Arabidopsis thaliana: one gene and its partners. The protein of the gene in region 2 purifies or fractionates together with the protein of the main gene of each other region. This does not show direct contact. Each region holds a gene or a part of one and is shown on either strand. Other genes may lie near its edges.

Region 1 (6,606 bases), on a different chromosome or scaffold from region 2:
TCTTCCTTTATTCCTCTCTGAATAAGAATGCAAACTGAAGCAAAGAATCCAAAGATATAATCTTATGGTGAATTCTCGAGCACCCTAGACTCTTCCAATGCAAAACCAATACCCAAATCCCTAGACAACCCATTCCTCCTTTGGTCATCTTCCATTTATACTGATTCGTTTATCTTTTGCTGACTGAATATTAGAGAGATGACATGACTAATGCAACAGCTGCACTCTTCTAACTACTTATGCAGACTTATCACAGCAGAGCCATATTGGAGCAGCATACATAAGCGATTTACTTGTAACCAAAACAATAATTGCGAACAAAACCCTGAGTAAGTGCTCAGTCAGATAGTCTACACGTATTTGGGCAAAGAAAGAACTTACAGCGCTAGAGTCTTGACCAACAACGAGAACAACCATATCGGGTCCAAACCTTCTAACTGCAGGAACCACCAGCTCATTCATGGCATATTCATATCCCCGGTCACCCGTGCCATTCGGTAAAGGGACATTCAGATTGTAACCCAATCCCACGTCTTCACCAAGTTCATCAATCGACCCTTTCTGCGGGTGGGACGATCCCCATGATCCATGGTTCATATGGAGTGACACCGTAAGAACCTTATCAGATGTATAAAACCCTTCAGCTGTGCCATTTCCATAATGTACATCGATGTCAATAACCGCAACTCGGGAACAAGAACCCGAATTCAATGCCAGCTTGACAGCAAGAGCAGCGTTGTTGAGGAAGCAATACCCATCAGCCTGAGTAGGCTGTGAGTGGTGACCTGGTGGGCGTACCAGAGCATATGCAATTTTCCCATGGCAATCAAGAATATGTTGCATTGCTGAAAGAGTTGTTCCAGCTGCAAGAAGAGCAGCTTCCCACGAGCCTGGGCTCATGAAAGTACCTGCGGCAATTTCACACCTTTCTCCTGATTTATCTGCCTCCACTAGCTTCTCAATGTACTCTGTACAAGGATCACAATGGATTACATGAGAAAGCAATAATCACAAATCAAAGTCGAATTTTTTAAGGTTAAGATTTGTCAAAACTACCAAATTCAGAAACAGGTTTTTATAAAAGTTCCTTCTTTTCTGCGAACCTTAGAGCGATGTACCTGAAGTGTGAAACATTAGAAGCTCCGAAACGATTGCTGGAAGACCGGTAAACCAATTGACATGAGGAGCGATGGGACCGCGTCGGAGAATCGAAAGCATGTTCCTGACGCGATCGGCGTTCTCCGGGTGCTTCTCCAATACGTCGAGGAATCCAGGGTCGTATCCAGTGTCGAAGACGCCTTCTACGGCGTCGTGTCGGAGCATTCCTTCGTGCCAGAAGACGTCTACGCGATTGGTAACCATCGGAGAAGCCGGCGACGAAGATAGGCTTGAGCCGTCGTCGGAGGCCAACGGTGGTGTAATAATGGAGGATGCTCACGCGCAACACACGTGTTCTCTAACCATTGAGATAACAAGGGGTATAAATGTCTTTTCCAAATAAACTCAAGGATTAAGTTAATTTCGGAGAAGAGAAATTTCGTGCTTATTGGGCCTGGACTGAACATGCTGTTAATGACATGTTGTACTGTTTTAGATTGGAGCTTTTTGGATTTCGTTATCCCACATTTAATTATTGTAGAACCTTTATTTTTTGACTACAAAAAAAATATATTCTTCGCTCTCATAAAATAAAGAAAATATAATTGAATTTATTTATGATTCATATTCGTATAAAAAACATTTGGCTACAAGTATCATGTACAAAACATTCGGCTAGATTTAGTTAGAACAAGATTTGTTATAAATCATAATGGCAATATAAGAGATTAGAGCAAGAAACATAGCAATTATTATTTGAGACCAGTTTTGCCCCATTTCTTACGATGATAAACGACTTTGAATATTCTTCAGTCCACTCCACACTGCGACGACGACTTGAGAAAAACAACATAGAGAAAAAAAGAAAAATCCAAACCTTAGGGGCAATATTGTAACTAAACCAAACGACACTGAGTCAACATTCTGCTTTGCTATAAAGGCCCAAGCACAATTTTTCAGTAACCATGATGAAGTGAGAAATTCTGAAAAATGGGATTACCTCAAAATAAGCTCAGTTTTTTCTGCTTCTTCTTCCTCGTCTCTGTACTAACTCTTGCCCCATTGGCTTTCTCCGAGATCTTCTTAGAGGAGCATTTCGAAGGTGAAGTATATATATAAACACTCTTCTCTCTTTTTTTTCCTTTTCTGGGAAACAAAACAACGATTTGTTATTTTTGTTTCCTTTTTGAATATATTGCTATGATTAGTAAGTAGTAACTTTCCTTGGTAGATTTTGATTTGATTAGGATAGTGAATCCGAATCCATCCTTCACTAGAATCTTCTATTATAGGCTTTGCTTTTCCTATTCTGGTTAATATAACGATTCTATGGTTCTGGATTTTGGCTTTCTATTTATAGGTTTATGGAATTAACTTAGTAAGATTGTGTTCAGGTGGATGGAAAAGTAGGTGGGTCTTGTCTGATTGGAAAAGAAACGAAGGCAAAGCTGGAACCTTTAAGCACACTGCCGGTAAATGGCCCGGCGATCCTGACAATAAAGGTACTTCCTTTCGCCCACCTTTAAGCACACTGCAGAACTCCGTCTTTTTGGCGTTAAGGGTCTCACTTGATTTTCAGAATACGAGAATCTATATCACCATTCTCCCTGTGATCTTTGTTATGTTGCAGTGTTTTAGTTCTTTGATATGTTCTTGTTAGCTGCCACTTGTGTGTAGATCTTCAGCTCTTTTGTTATGTGGACTAAGACATGGAGTTCGCAAGTCTACTGCCTTTCGATATTTGAAGTTATCTTGAAGAAAATTAAATCTTTAATTGGTTATAATTAGGATTTCTATTTTAGTTCTTAGATATGTTTGTTTCAGCAGCAGGTTTGTGTGTAGATCTTGAGCTCTTTTGTTCTGTGATACAATTATGGATCGTCAAGTGTACTAGCTTTCGATCTCGAAAGTTAACTTGAGGAATATAGAATCTTTATTTGGTTTAACTTAGTATCTTTTTCTTTCTTTTTTGATTTTCTTGATGTGTTTAGGTATTCAGACTTATAATGATGCCAAGCATTATGCGATTTCTGCAAAGATTCCTGAGTTTAGCAACAAAAACCGGACTCTTGTTGTCCAGTACTCAGTCAAGATTGAACAAGACATTGAATGTGGTGGTGCTTACATTAAGCTCCTGTCTGGCTATGTTAACCAGAAGCAGTTTGGTGGTGATACTCCATACAGGTAATCATACATTAATGCTTTTTCAATGAACATCAGTTGATAGAATGTTATATTGCAATCTAAGTCAAGTTGCGTTGATTTAGTTAATCCAGTGAACTTTGATAAATGATTACATGTCCATGTTTTTTACAACAAAGTCGTCACATGGTGTTGTTGTGTTTGGGGATTCTCATTAGTTTTTCTATGCAGTCTAATGTTTGGACCAGATATATGCGGAACACAGACGAAGAAGCTTCATGTTATAGTTTCATATCAGGGACAGAATTATCCAATCAAAAAGGATTTGCAATGTGAAACAGACAAATTAAATCATTTCTACACATTTATTCTGCGTCCTGACGCTTCTTACAGCGTTCTGGTGGATAATAAAGAGAGAGAATTTGGCAGTATGTACACAGACTGGGACATCCTTCCTCCAAGGAAGATCAAGGTCAAGAATGCAAAGAAGGTAACTGTCTGGGTGCTTATAAGGTTTCATAGACTCTTTCTTAAATGCAATGTGAATTTCTGAACCAAACATTTGCAAGGTTGGATAACCTTTTTCTGAGATAGTTACACTTAGCTTTTAGCTATTATAATTTATGATGTATGACGAGGAAAATGGATTATGGTTTTGATCTGAGGTTATACTAAATTTTCATAGAAGAGCAAGATATGCAGTAAGCCAGTAACACTACATTTCTTTTAGCTTTCACCTTGATAGATTCTTAACAGTCTGTATTTTGCAGCCAGAGGACTGGGATGATAGAGAGTACATCGATGACCCCAACGATGTCAAACCCGAGGTAACTTTTTAGTAAACTTAGCAATATAGAAAATACAATTTGTATTGAAAGGAAGCTATTCAGTTCCCATTCTCTTAATTCTTAGTTTAATTCAGGCAACTGGCTCGTTCTTCCTTTTGTAACCAGGGTTTTGATTCTATTCCACGTGAAATTCCAGATCGTAAAGCTAAAGAGGTATGTACTGTTATATTAGATTCTTTAAATGATTGGTCGTTATTTTTTAGTCTCAGAGATCCATCATTCTTTCTTCATTCTATATCACTGCAAATTCTGACATTATGGCACTCATTCTTTTTTGGAACTCATTACTGTGTTATAGTCTGAAGCTTTGTGTCTTGTATCTCTCTCTCTACTTGTTTAGCCCGAGGACTGGGACGAGGAAGAAAATGGTCTCTGGGAACCTCCAAAGATCCCAAATTCTGCGTACAAAGGTCCTTGGAAAGCAAAGGTTATTATATGACAGTCATCAATGGTTATATAGATTACTGTTTTTTCTTCTTCTCCATTTGACATTTCTCAAAACATTATTTTCCTACAGAGAATCAAGAACCCGAACTACAAGGGAAAATGGAAGAACCCATGGATAGATAATCCAGGCATGTTTCTACCTATTTAATGTGTATGTTCATTTTGAGCTGGATTTCTTCTTGTTATAAATACTAAGCTTGAGCTTCTCGGTTTTGCACAGAATTTGAAGATGATCCAGATCTTTACGTTCTGAAGTCTATCAAATATGCAGGCATTGAAGTATGGCAGGTAAGTTCTAGAGCTTTCTTGAATTCCATCAAATATTAACTTTTATAATCACTACATCATCACCAGATATGGATGAATATTTATATAATATTCACTGCCAATTAGTTCTTTTAACATATATATGCTGCTTGTACATATAGGTCATCCAAATTTTTAGGGTTGAAAACAAAACCAAAAGAAACAGAAAAGATCTGATAAAAAGTCTTCATTTTAGACGAGGGATCAAACTTATCTAGTGCATCTGAATGAAAAAAAAATGATCTTAACACTGCAGGTGAAGGCTGGCTCAATCTTTGACAATATATTGATCTGCGATGACCCGGCATATGCAAGAAGCATCGTGGATGACTATTTTGCCCAACACAGGGAGGTAGATTTCCAAGTCTTTGTATATCTTTTTGCTTCTTTTTGGATAAAATCAAAGAAGTTTTTTGATCTTGCAAGTGTGTAGTAATTGCAAATGGATTTTCTGCATGCTATTATATACGAAAATGTCTTATTAGTGAATTTGATATGCTATATACTTGGCCATATGCACCAGTCTGAGAAGGAGTTATTTGCGGAAGCAGAGAAAGAAAGAAAAGCTAGAGAAGATGAGGTTTGTAGTTCACAAAAAAGTTCTTGTTCTCTTTTCAAGTCTTCTCTGTATATCCTAGTTAACGAGCATGGCCATACAAATCAACGTTTACAGGAAGCTCGGATAGCACGGGAAGAAGGTGAACGCAGGCGGAAAGAAAGGGACCACCGGTATGGAGACAGGAGGAGGCGTTACAAACGGGTAAGTACTTATTTGAGTCCAAATGAATTATAACCTTCTCAACTCTGTTTTATCTGGAAACCAAGTGAGTGAATATTGTTGGAAATGGTTTGTTTTGTTTTGTTTTGTTTTGTTTTGCAGCCGAATCCACGTGATTATATGGATGATTACCATGTAAGTGTTCCTTCTATCTCAACCACTTTAAAAAGAATGGTTTATGCAGTTTAGTACTGAATCATCTTAACTGTTCTAAAAATGTAAGTTTGTTATGATTCTGAATTTCGTGTAGGACGAGCTATGAGGCGCAGAGTGGTGGGCATTTGGCAAAGCATTGGGGGAAATTATCTATATTTTGCTTTGAATGTGTGTTTGTAATTTCATAATTTGTAACCTTTTGTATTCATATTCTTATAATGTATTTTGGCATGAAAACTTGACTTGTTATTTTTCCCTTCCAATACAAAAATTCTAAAATTGGCAAGAACGACAAACTACCATGCAGTGATTTGTGAAGTTTGATAGTGGTGGTAATTTTAATTGTTTCACCACAGAAAATTTCTCTATATCCTGAAGAAGATAGCTGAGTTGAACTGAGAGGTTGGCGTTTCTTAGTGAAAATACAAAAAATAGAAATCTTTAGCTAGAAAGTGTGGTGTGGACTGATGGTAACCATGTTCATTTGGAGGAACTAATGTGAATATTAGCTAAAAGCATATTGTTGAGTGTTGACAAAATGACAACAGATAAATCGTCAAATACTACTCCACCTAGCTAATATTTTTTTTTAACTAATGTTAGAAAGCCACCTATTTGCATCCGTAATGATAAAAACTAAAAAAATATAAGATTATAAGAGTGATACATTTTGTGTGAAAACGTAAACGAAAGTCAAAAGAAAGAAAAACGAAAGAATTTTAAATGCGTTTTATGTTGGGCACAAATGTTGTGACTTGTGTGTACCTTTTCCCACTTTAAATGTACGGCTGATAATCACATCAGTGGCGACTTTAGGAAATAGAAAATTCG
Region 2 (6,667 bases):
GAGCACGTGAGGCACACGTTCCTTGTGTAAGACTTGTTGTGGTGATGTTGGCGCAGTGTCTCACTGAAACATGAATGAAACCCAGACTTTGTTTTAATTTCAGGCGAAGGTCCATTTCTCCATGTTATATATCAATCTCTTATTTATTAGTAGCAAAATTGTTTAAACTTTTTAAAATCCATTGATCACCCTATCATTTTCAATATCTACATACAATCTTATGTCTCGATAAAGGTTTATCTTTATCTTATTATGCAATACATATCCCTCCCATTTCTATATTGCAAATTATGACATCAAAAAACCATTCTTTTGATTCTACTTGGGCCAATAACAAAATCAATAGTAATGGAAAAAATAACGTAGATGGATATAAATATAGTCCAACGGTTCAATTTCATCAGTAATAAGTATATAGCAAAAAAAAAAACGTTTAACTCAGCATAGTTCAAAAGGGACCACATTGGTCATGTAAATATAACATCCATAAAAACAAATTTAAGTCTCATCTATTCTCACTTTCCCATTCCCGTGCAGTGTGAATTCCCCAAATTAATTCCGACAATAATGAATTAATAGGTCACGTGCATTTACATGAACATGATCAGTCGAAATTTAATACACATTGGCTCTTTGTTTCTTCATGATTCATTATAAATTTAATTTGTTAGCAACGTAGAAATTTCCATAGAACTAAAAACGAAAACATTACAAATCCCTCCCCAAAAAACTGTATATTTACATATTCTTAACAAAGTTATTACTTAGTTCTATTCTCCACCACCCCCAATTCGACCGAGCCCGAAAAAAAAAACATCCGTCTTATGTATAAATAACATAGATACATACACTTAGCATATAGTAGAAAATACAAAAAAAATAGACCCAAGGAAAATCGGACTGACCCTTAGATGATTTTGATGTTCAAAGAATCTGCTTTGGCTCTGTTTCTAACTCTCATAATTTTCCTTCAGGAACTTCTTTTATACTCATATCAACCATCTCTATTGTACTGAACCCTCCATCCTCTATTGATCTGATCGTTGACTGTGAATCTATCCCTGACCCGGCTTGTATCTCCTTAAACATGGCCATGACTTGTACCATTGTCGGTCGTCTCCAAGCCCGATCATCCAAACACGCAACCGCAACTTTTAAATGTTGTAAAAGTTCGATCTCTAATGCTGGATCTTCCTTCATAAGCTCGGGGTCAAACACATCGCTAATCCGCAGTTTTGCGTGCTGTTTCACCCATCCAACAAGGTTGTTATCTCCAAAATCCGGTGAATCCGTTGGCCGTTTACCCGTGAGTAGCTCGAGTAAGACCACACCGTAACTATAAACGTCTCCTTTTGTTGAACACCTGAAACTTTGGTAATACTCTGGAGGAACGTAACCCGGTGTACCAGCTAATGTACTGACGCTTAAATGCGTATCCATCGCACTCATCAGCCTCGCCATGCCAAAATCTGAAACCCGAGCTTCCAAATTCTCATCAAGCAACACATTACTGGATTTCATGTCTCTGTGGATGATATGCGGACTGCAGTTGTGGTGAAGGAAAGCAAGCCCTCTAGCTGATCCTATCGCAATCTTCCGCCGTGTGGACCAGTTTAGTTTCACCCCAGCTTTCTTGGGGTCGTGCAAAACATCTTCTAAACTTCCATACTTCATAAACTCATACACAAGAAGCCGCTCGTCTCCAACTTTGCAATAACCAAGAAGAGGCACAAGATTTCGATGTTTGATCTTCCCAATGGTTTCCATCTCCGCCATGAACTCTCTATCACCTTGACCGCTAACATGAATCAGTTTCTTGATAGCCACCGCGCTTCCATCTTTCAAAATCGCTTTGTAAACATCTCCAAACCCACCAGAACCAATCAGACTATCATTATGGAAACCATTGGTAGCCTGAAGAAGATCCGCAAACGTGAGCTTCCGCAATGGCTTCTCGAAAGCAGCAAGATTGATACTCAAGGCTTCTTTCACACCAGTCAGCTTCCAATTGGTGTTGTTAGCAGTTCTATCGCCAGAGTTTCCATGTCCTTCCGCATACATCTCCAACTCCGCCTCTTTCTTTCTCCGTCTCTTCCTCATCTCTCTACCAACAAGGATCAGCCCAAATATACACACAAAAGAGAACAACAATCCCATCGCCACACTACCAGCAAGGGACGCTGGTCTCCTTCCATGAGATCTCTGATGATGAGCATAACCGTCTGCATTTGAAGGATCACACCGCGGAAGAGGATAACCACAGAGACCAGGATTGTTCAAGAACTTAGCCGGTGGAAAAGTCTCAAACTGACCCATCTCAGGAATCGGACCAGACAAATTATTATTCGACAAATCGATTTCCGTAAGCATAGTAAGAGCTGACATAGCCTGAGGAATCCTCCCATCGAGCTTATTGCTTGAAAGATCAAGAATGTTTAAACCTCTTAGATCACCTACCTCATCAGGAATCGAACCAGAGATATCGTTATGACCCAAATTGAGAATAAACAGATAAGGCATCGAACCAATCTCCTTCGGTATGTATCCAGACAACATGTTGTAAGACATGTCCAGAAACATCATCGAACCATTGTTATCAAACGTCGGCGAAGTGTGACCTCCATAGACTCTGCTAGTGATATTACAAGGGTTCCTCGTTGAAAGCCGGTTTAATTGTTCGGATCTGATTCCTTGAAACTCAAGTAAATTACCAGCTCCATGACACTCTTTCTTCATCCCATCGTTTTTGATATAAACGTACCTCTTACCGGCGATGAAATTGGCAGCGATTTTCCCGGATTGTTTAAACATCGCCGCCGGAATCGTTCCATTGAAGAGATTGGTGTTGAGATCAAGCCAGATTAAGCTTCTGCAGTCGCCGAGCTCAGCCGGAATGTTCCCGGAGAATGAATTGTTGCTTAGCTTGAGGATAGCGAGATTCTCTAACCGGCCAATCCATTTCGGAATCTCACCGGTTAACCGGTTATTCGACAGAGAAATCCAGTTAAGATTGGTACAGTTACTTAAACCGGAAGGGATTTCACCGGTTAAATCGTTGAAGTCGAGGATCAGAGTCTCTAAGGTCTTGACATACATGAGCTCCTGAGGGATCTCTCCTTCTAACATATTCAGCCATAGTTTCAGATCTCGAAGCTTCGATAGAGAGCCTAAGCTCGAAGGGATTGTCCCGGAGAGGTAATTGAAGCTCAAGTGAAGCGAAACCAGCTCAGAACAGTTGCTTAAAGTCGGTGGAATCTTCCCGGTGAAGCCATTGTTCTGAAGGTAAAGCTCCTGCAGAGTGTTTTTAGGGTTCTGGCAGAGATTTGGGAGAATCGGACCGGAGAAATTGTTGGAGCTGAGATCTAACGTTAGCAACGAAGCGGATAGATTCGTCAGAGATTCCGGTAATTCGCCGGAAAACTCGTTGAAAGACAGATCAAGTACTTTGAGTCCTCTCATCTTCAACAACGTATCCATCGGTAACTCGCCAGAGAAGTTGTTACTCGACAACGCGAGTGATTCGAGAAGAGAACATGAACCGAAGAATGGAGGAACCGCACCGTAGAAATGATTTCCAGAGAGATCGAGACCAGTGAGTGTATCACACGCGCCGGAGAGAAAGTCAGGGATCTCGCCGGTGAATTTGTTCTCGGCCAGAGAGAGGTATTGGAGACTTTTAAGCGGTAGCGGAGGGATTGGTCCGACGAATTGGTTACTAGAGATGTTCAACAACTTGAGCTCTGTGCAAGTAGAGATAGCACGGGAGAAATCGCCGGATAATTTGTTCCCGGAGATGTCAAGATGTTGCAGAGCAGAGCAATCTCCGAGGAAAGGAATCCCAGTGGAGAAATTGTTGGAGGAAACATCGAGAAACTCGAGATTCACGCAGCGAGAAACATCGACGTCTCCACTGATTTTGTTTCCGCTAATCGCTAAATGTTTCAACTCTCCACACCCATCGGAGAGAACCCAACCAACGACGTTAGCACCGGAGATTGAATTCGCAGAAAGATCCAGAACTTCCAAGCTGTTTAGCTTCAACCCACCTGAAACTTTCCCGGGAAAATCAAGTGTATTGGAAGAGACGTTAAGAAACTTCAGACCGGAGCAAGAACCAAGGCTTGTTAGAGTCGTTACAGGACCCGAAAGAGAGTTTCTAGATAGATCCAAGCTGGTTAAAGAAGCAGAGCACTTGAAGCCAGAAACGGAGCCATTGATGTGTGAGTTTGAGAGAAACAGAGACTCTAATCCGGTGAGAGACAGGAGAGACGAGGACACGGCACTGAATCCGACGTTGAGAGGCTTGGAGCTGAGATCAATCGAAGTAACTTTGTCGTCTCTGCAAGTAACGCCATCGAAAGTACACGGGTTTTTGTTGGAAGACCAGTCTGGGAGAAGATTCTTGTCAGGAAGAACGTCTTTGAAGCTTATAAGCTGATGGATTTCTCTGTATAAAGACTGAGATGGTGAAGCTTGAAATGAAAGAGAAAAGAAGGAGAAGAAGAAGAGAGTTGTTACAGAGAGAAAGAAGCTTGAAAAAGTCTTCATTTCTCAAGAGTTTGTGAGAGAGAAAAGTGTGGGAAGTAGAGAAGATGAAAGGGGGAATCTAGGGTTTTGGTTCCACCATTAGAGAGGAAGTGGAAGCTCTAGAGATAGAAAGAGAGAGATTGAGGAAAGCAGAAAGAGAGGAGAGAGAGAAGAGAGTCAAAAGACAGAAGAAGGAAGATGGAAGAAGGTATTTATCAAATGGTGAAGGGAAGAGTGGTCACAGCTGTGCACTCACATGCCATGTTACCTCTTCTTCTGATTATTATAAAAATTATATATATTAATTTCAATTTCGATAACAGATACAAACAAATAATACTACTTTTAATTATTGTATGTGGTTATAAAAAAAAAGTTAATTAATGCAAGAGGATACTAAAAATAAATAAAATAATGGCATCACAAAATCCTTAATCTCATAGTAGCTTTTGTTAAGTTTAAGTTAAAGAAATGAGGTATTTTGTCTGTACATGAGAGAGGTGTTTAATTAACGTGAGATTAGGGGATGGGATCAAGTCTTCTGCAAGCTACATATCCTACTTACCCTTTTTAAACTCTTCTTAAGACTTTATTGTAACATTTGTATACATTTTACCCCCAACCACCTATCTCTTGATTCTCTTCTCAATATTTTTAAAACACAAGTCTAATCTGATCTTCTGTTTAGTGCTGGGTTTTTTTTTATAATAAGCATATATATTCATTGATTTTTATTTTTATTAAAAAAAAAATCAAGATAATTCATGTTATATTTTTCTTCTTACTTGGTTGGATCTTGATCGGTGAATTATTGGTGTATGCACTCACTGTCACCCAATATGCAAAACTTTTGATTCTGATATAAAGATGCCAGCAACTAACTAATTCCACATTTATGGACTAATGGTTAAGTAGTGTTCAGTAAAAATGGAACATAGTATAAGCATCTAAATTTCTTTTATATTGATACTCATATACAACAAGATTTGGAGCATTCAATGTGATAGTTTGAAAGAGTTCAAATTTACTTTAATGTTAAGGTAATACATACATATTTTTACATGAATTTCACACCAACCACAAACATTTCACATTAACACTCTTCTCTTGTTCACTCTCACTTGTATCTGAAAGAAAAACTAAAAATAAAGTGGAGGAGAGATTGTCTCTATAGCTTTTTGCAAAAGAGAAACAAAAAAAAAAACGAACGTACGTGTGAGAGACGATTGGGACATGAGTGTCAATTAATGGCAGATTCCATCTCTTTTTAATAATCAGAGAAGTATTATTATTAGTTTTCGATAAACCTTTTCCCACTAATTAATCCCTCCTTTCACTTTTAAACTGCTTTCTTTTTCTCTGGCACTTACATAGACGGATAGACCAAACTTCTCTTAAAGCCTTATTCTATTATTTTTTCCTTCTGTCGCAGTTTTATAGAGATATTTCGTAATTATGTACAAACCCTACGTGCAGCTGTACCCGGTGTATACATAGTTACATAATTAACAAAAAATTCACTTTATACACATAGTTTTGGGTAACAGGAACTTGACTACTTGAGTAGTAAACTTTTCAATTAAATTCGAGATATGTTACTATCACTTTAACTTTTGTAGAGAAAATGTCGTCTGCAATGGTAACTGGTTTGAAGGTTCAACTTTCAGCGAATAATACTGCGATACCATTTTCAAATAAAGAAGGAAGATCATAGAGAATGACATTTGTGTAACTATCTATCGCAAGTGTAACACTTTTTTTGGAAGGTTTGTATAAGTACAATTGAACAGAAAAACAAACAACCTGATAGAATACTATATTGGTACAAGTAACTTTTTAAATACAAACTGAATGAAAAGTATGTTTAGTGATGTATTAATTTCGTATAATAGAACATTTTATTCTATAATGTCATCATAATCAAGCAAAACGCCAAAATAGTGTAATGATTCTAACTTCCAAAAAAGGGACGAAACTGTCCTCCCCACACTCTCATTTATAAGCGCTCGTGTGACAAATCACCCACGCTCTCTGCTCGCGCGTCAGACATACGTGAACACAAAACGGCGTTGTTTCTACATCGAGCCACCATTGCGACGTGGTCTACACGCGCTCATGGAGGTGAGTGCGATTGGTGGAG
Region 3 (4,935 bases), on a different chromosome or scaffold from region 2:
GGTAACCAACGGATTTTATCCTTTTGTTGTTTGTTTACAGTATCAGATAAGGGAACAGAAGTATTGTTTGCTAACCGAGTCTGGTTGGGTGTCCGTTTTACCCCGAGTTGACTCGGTTCTTGTGACGTTGGGTGACATTGCTCAGGTTAGTTCTCTTTTGCTTTTGACAATTGACAGAACACATATATCTCTTTTATTTATCTATAATTAATTGGTTAGTTGTCTTCCTTAAATAATTATCAAATTATCATCCTTTGTAATGGAACTTTATTCCACTATACCGTTAACTGGCTGTTTTAATGTATTTTAAACATTATCCAAAATAAATGTTTTCCAACGCATCGTTCAAAAAGAGAACAAGAATTTGGATATTTCCGATATTTATTGTTGACAACAACAACAATTGTGGAGCATAACCGGGGAATGTGTTTTCACTTTTCGTTTGAAACAGATTTATGGCATTGGGAAAGAAATAAGAATTTGGAAATTTCCGATATTTAAATACTTATACACATCACATCGCAATTGTACTTAGTGTCCTATAGAATTCAACAATTCTTTTTTTTTTAGGTCAAAACCTAACAGCTTTCTACAATATAGTTTTCAACTTTTGAACAGCTAACAAACAACTTAAAATTGGCAGGTTTGGAGAAATGGAGAGGTCAAAAGAGTGAAATATCGACCAGTGTTGTGTTCAGGACAAAAAGATGGTCCAGTAAAGTGTGTAACAATGACATTGATGCTTACACTTCCCATGGACAGTATGGTTTCATCATTGAAGGATATGATCAGTGACGGCGACAAAGAAGAAGAGTATGCAGAGGAGGAGGAAGAAGATGGAGGAGCAAGAAGTGATGAGAGAAGGGCATTTAGGCCTTTTAGTTTCAAGGAGTACGCATGGAGAGTGTACCAAGAACGTCTCTTCTTCAGGGATCCACTTGACAGATACAGAATCAAATCTTTAAAAGATTGACGAACCGATGTTTGATTTGTTTGTTTCTTTCTTGGGTTGAATTGGTACTATAGTTCTTGTTGTTACTTTTTTTCCCCCATAAAATCTTTTGATTTTCAGCGGATTGTTAGCATTTTAGCATTGAGATATTTTTGTTTTTGTTCGATTCAGTTCAGAGAATGTTCTATTTTGATAGTCACTCCATCATTCAACTAATTTTTTCATATATACTCATATCAAAACTGTCACTATTTCAAAATCAAACTTTTAGGTTACACCAATGACTCTATCACACTAAACTCAACTCCTAGATTTTATATAGAAGAATCTATGACTTTGATGATGTACTTTAAAACTGAGTCTTTTGAGATCATAACCAAATTCTACTTCATAACTTTTGTTTTCCAATGTTGATTATTTGTTATAATTAGAAGGTGACACAAACGCTTATAGCATCCTGTTTTTGAAAATGAGGAAATACAGTGTTGGCTTTTAATCTCTCATTGAGGCAGAATATCAATGAATGACTTCAAATCTACGTATACATGTTTACTTATTTAGTGATCCATATTGGTGTTGCTCTTTAATTTTCTTGTGAGAATGAATTATATACATCAAAATTGATTATATCATTTAATTCGAGTTAAAATTATAAGTAATACAATCTTCACTAAACACTAATTAAATCGACGTAAATTTCTTATACGATTTTTTCATGCAACACTTAAATCGACATAAATTTAAATATTTTGGTCTTCATACCCTAATTTTGATAAGATATAATAGAAAATTTCGTATATCTTTTTTTTTTTTTGGTAAAAAGTTTTTTTTTTTTTGTTTCATCTCCATATTTAGAAAATTTATTTCAAACTTCGTTCTCGTTTGTGTTCATCTTAATTTTTAACCATGATTGAGTCATTGACCATTGCTCAAAACATACGCATAAAATTCCCAAAAAGTAGTGTGTGTCGTGACAAAACCCGACCCGTCGATTTACGCGGTTTGAAACTCGACCCGAATACTATCCGAACCCGTAACTTTGGCAAAAGCACATCGTACAGCTCAGGCACTTGTAGCACGTCGTCTCTCCTTTGGTTTCTCTCCTTATATTCGACGAGTGACTCCGATTGGATCGCTATTTCGTCATTTCTCACTTTCCAAAAAGAAAAAAACGAATCTCTCTCCACCATCATCACCTTTCTCCTTCACTTGCCTCAGATCTGGCTGCGATTTCAAATCTTCCTTAGTTTCTCTCGCATCGCTCGGCCGTTGACGGTCCCGTCCTTTCCGTGGATCTGATTCTGGCCCCGGATTCTCTCGCCGCGATCTGAGGTCAAACATGGCGGCTGCTAACGCGCCCATCATTATGAAGGAGGTCCTAACGGTGAGTTCTCTGTTTTTAAATCTCCGGGAATCGAGCTAAAATTTTGGACGATTAACATGTTTCTATAGTTGTAGTCTCTGATTTCTATCGATTTGGTTCTGCTCACACTGTTATATGATTGATTCAAGTTTCATTCTGTTCTCAATTCTACCCGATCGTTGAGATCAAGTTCTCTGATCAGATTTTCTCTGCGGACGCTCAGATCTGTGTTATCTGAATGTATATAGTCCTTAGTTTTAAGTTATTGTGTTGCGCAATGTGCTTATCTACTCGGATCTTGTAACTAAGTTAATGAACTATGCCAATTGATTACTTTTGTTTTGGAAATTTTCCAGCTTCCGAGCGTTGGGATCGGTCAACAGTTCATCACCTTTACAAATGTTACTATGGAGTCTGATAAGTACATATGTGTACGAGAGACGGCACCGCAGAACAGTGTTGTAATTATCGATATGAATATGCCGATGCAGCCTTTAAGGAGGCCTATAACTGCTGATTCTGCTCTTATGAACCCAAACTCGAGGATCCTTGCCTTAAAAGGTATTACACTGTTTCCTTCGATCGCATTATCACTTATAACACCCATAAGATTCTCCTTTTGAAGTGTATGATCAGTTATAAGACCCATAAGTGGTTCCTATTAAAGTTTTCTCCAGAACTACCATTGATAGCTTCTCCTTCATTTTGTTAACTGTACATATGCTATTTATTACGGATAGGATGTTTTGATTTATTTGAAGTTTAAATGACTCTGTCCATGTTGTGATGCGTCACTTGATAGAAAACCTATTTTTATTAAAGTAGTATGGAAGTGTAACTACACTCTTCGAGTTTATGTTGTAGTCCTATACTCTTTTTCTGGATTTGGGGTGATAGCATGTTTAATGCTGTAGAAAACATCAGTATAGCGCTCTCTGTTTTCCAACACGTGTTATATTTCTCGTGGCAGTGTTGTGTCTCAAGCTTAGTGTAGTTAAACTAGAAATTTTGGTTTGTACTGGATGTTTCCTTGTATAAGCTATTACTTATTTCTTCCTTAATTTGTTGTTAACTTTTTCTTAAATTCGTATCGTATATAGCTCAAGTTCCAGGAACTACTCAGGATCATCTACAGATATTTAACATTGAAGCAAAGGCAAAGTTGAAGTCACATCAGATGCCTGAGCAGGTGAATTTTGAAGCAAACAAATTGTAACCCGATTATCTTTCATGTTGTACTCTTCAGACAGACTCTGATTTTACTGGTCTGAATTTTTTGGATATTATAGGTTGCTTTTTGGAAGTGGATCACACCTAAGATGCTGGGACTGGTCACACAAACTTCTGTGTATCATTGGTCAATTGAAGGTTTTATATCTTTAACTTACTGTCAGCTTCTTCATATCATGTATATGTTGTTTCTCATTTTTGCTTCGATATTTCCAGGTGATTCTGAGCCAGTTAAGATGTTTGATAGAACGGCTAATTTGGCAAACAATCAAATTATAAACTATAAGTGCTCTCCTAATGAGAAGTGGTTGGTCTTGATTGGAATTGCCCCTGGCTCTCCTGAGGTAGGGTTCCTGCACCACGTATTAGGTTGAATTAAGACATCATAACGGCAGTCATGTTGTATATTTTTGACGGAATCTTGTCATTATTATCCTCTGTAGAGACCACAATTGGTGAAAGGAAATATGCAGCTTTTCTCTGTGGATCAACAGCGGAGCCAGGCCCTTGAAGCACATGCTGCATCTTTTGCTCAGTTTAAGGTAAACTATGTGATACCTTTGCTACTTCATTCCATGGTCGGATCTTGAACTGTAGTATGACAAGCGACATTATTATTGATAGGTCCCTGGGAATGAGAATCCTTCGATTCTTATATCATTTGCAAGCAAGAGCTTTAATGCTGGGCAGATAACATCAAAGCTGCATGTTATTGAACTTGGTGCCCAACCAGGTTAGCTTAAACTACTGCTCTATATTTTCATGGTTATTGTTAGTTGGTATTAGTCTGATGTTTAAAGGTGGGCGGCTTTTTTTCAGGGAAACCATCATTTACAAAAAAGCAGGCAGATCTCTTTTTCCCCCCAGATTTTGCTGATGATTTTCCTGTGGCCATGCAGGTTTGTAGTTGCATTAGCTGTTCAATTAACTTCAGTAAGTTTCTTGTGAAAAATTCATGACACCGACTTCTCTTTCTCCCAACAGGTCTCTCACAAGTTTAACTTGATTTATGTCATCACCAAGCTTGGCCTGCTGTTTGTATATGATCTAGAGACAGCTTCTGCTATCTACAGAAATCGGATAAGTCCGGACCCAATTTTCTTAACGTCTGAAGCTTCCTCAGTTGGGGGTTTCTATGCCATTAATAGGCGAGGACAAGTTCTTTTGGCAACAGTAAATGAGGCCACCATAATACCTTTTATTAGTGGTCAAGTATGTTCAACTTTTACTTTGTTCTTCTCTATATAATCTATCTATTCATCATGACATGCTAAGAAATCTATGCCTTTATATTACAGTTGAACAATTTGGAACTTGCTGTCAATCTTGCTAAAAGAGGAAACCTCCCTGGTGCAGAAAATCTGGTATGTGATAATTATCTTGGATCAGA

Evidence for each region. The genes of interacting proteins can lie anywhere in the genome.
Region 1: the proteins of BRI1 (region 2) and CRT3 purify together in Arabidopsis thaliana (affinity purification with western blotting, with the first as the bait; one study listed by BioGRID). This does not show direct contact.
Region 3: the proteins of BRI1 (region 2) and AT3G11130 purify together in Arabidopsis thaliana (affinity purification with western blotting, with the first as the bait; one study listed by BioGRID). This does not show direct contact.

What each region holds. Positions count from the first base shown.
Region 1 is NC_003070.9:2,667,283-2,673,888, reverse strand, and holds CRT3 (calreticulin 3), read left to right. Parts: upstream 1-1,931; 5' UTR 1,932-2,088; coding exon 2,089-2,200; intron 2,201-2,492; coding exon 2,493-2,600; intron 2,601-3,089; coding exon 3,090-3,282; intron 3,283-3,471; coding exon 3,472-3,730; intron 3,731-4,010; coding exon 4,011-4,067; intron 4,068-4,193; coding exon 4,194-4,241; intron 4,242-4,428; coding exon 4,429-4,515; intron 4,516-4,605; coding exon 4,606-4,663; intron 4,664-4,755; coding exon 4,756-4,823; intron 4,824-5,097; coding exon 5,098-5,193; intron 5,194-5,364; coding exon 5,365-5,421; intron 5,422-5,514; coding exon 5,515-5,601; intron 5,602-5,721; coding exon 5,722-5,754; intron 5,755-5,869; coding exon 5,870-5,881; 3' UTR 5,882-6,064; downstream 6,065-6,606. Other genes in the region: HDA08 (histone deacetylase 8), read right to left, coding at 382-968, 1,119-1,362. UniProt on the Arabidopsis thaliana protein: Molecular calcium-binding chaperone promoting folding, oligomeric assembly and quality control in the ER via the calreticulin/calnexin cycle.
Region 2 is NC_003075.7:18,322,707-18,329,373, reverse strand, and holds BRI1 (Leucine-rich receptor-like protein kinase family protein), read right to left. Parts: upstream 4,918-6,667; 5' UTR 4,549-4,917; coding exon 958-4,548; 3' UTR 543-957; downstream 1-542. Other genes in the region: PLS (polari), read left to right, coding at 75-185. UniProt on the Arabidopsis thaliana protein: Receptor with a dual specificity kinase activity acting on both serine/threonine- and tyrosine-containing substrates.
Region 3 is NC_003074.8:3,489,024-3,493,958, reverse strand, and holds the start of AT3G11130 (Clathrin, heavy chain), read left to right. Parts: upstream 1-1,893; 5' UTR 1,894-2,291; coding exon 2,292-2,336; intron 2,337-2,671; coding exon 2,672-2,876; intron 2,877-3,415; coding exon 3,416-3,504; intron 3,505-3,604; coding exon 3,605-3,683; intron 3,684-3,761; coding exon 3,762-3,889; intron 3,890-3,988; coding exon 3,989-4,087; intron 4,088-4,169; coding exon 4,170-4,278; intron 4,279-4,364; coding exon 4,365-4,444; intron 4,445-4,529; coding exon 4,530-4,757; intron 4,758-4,843; coding exon 4,844-4,909; intron 4,910-4,935. Other genes in the region: AT3G11150 (2-oxoglutarate (2OG) and Fe(II)-dependent oxygenase superfamily protein), read left to right, coding at 1-145, 644-973. UniProt on the Arabidopsis thaliana protein: Clathrin is the major protein of the polyhedral coat of coated pits and vesicles. Mediates endocytosis and is required for a correct polar distribution of PIN auxin transporters.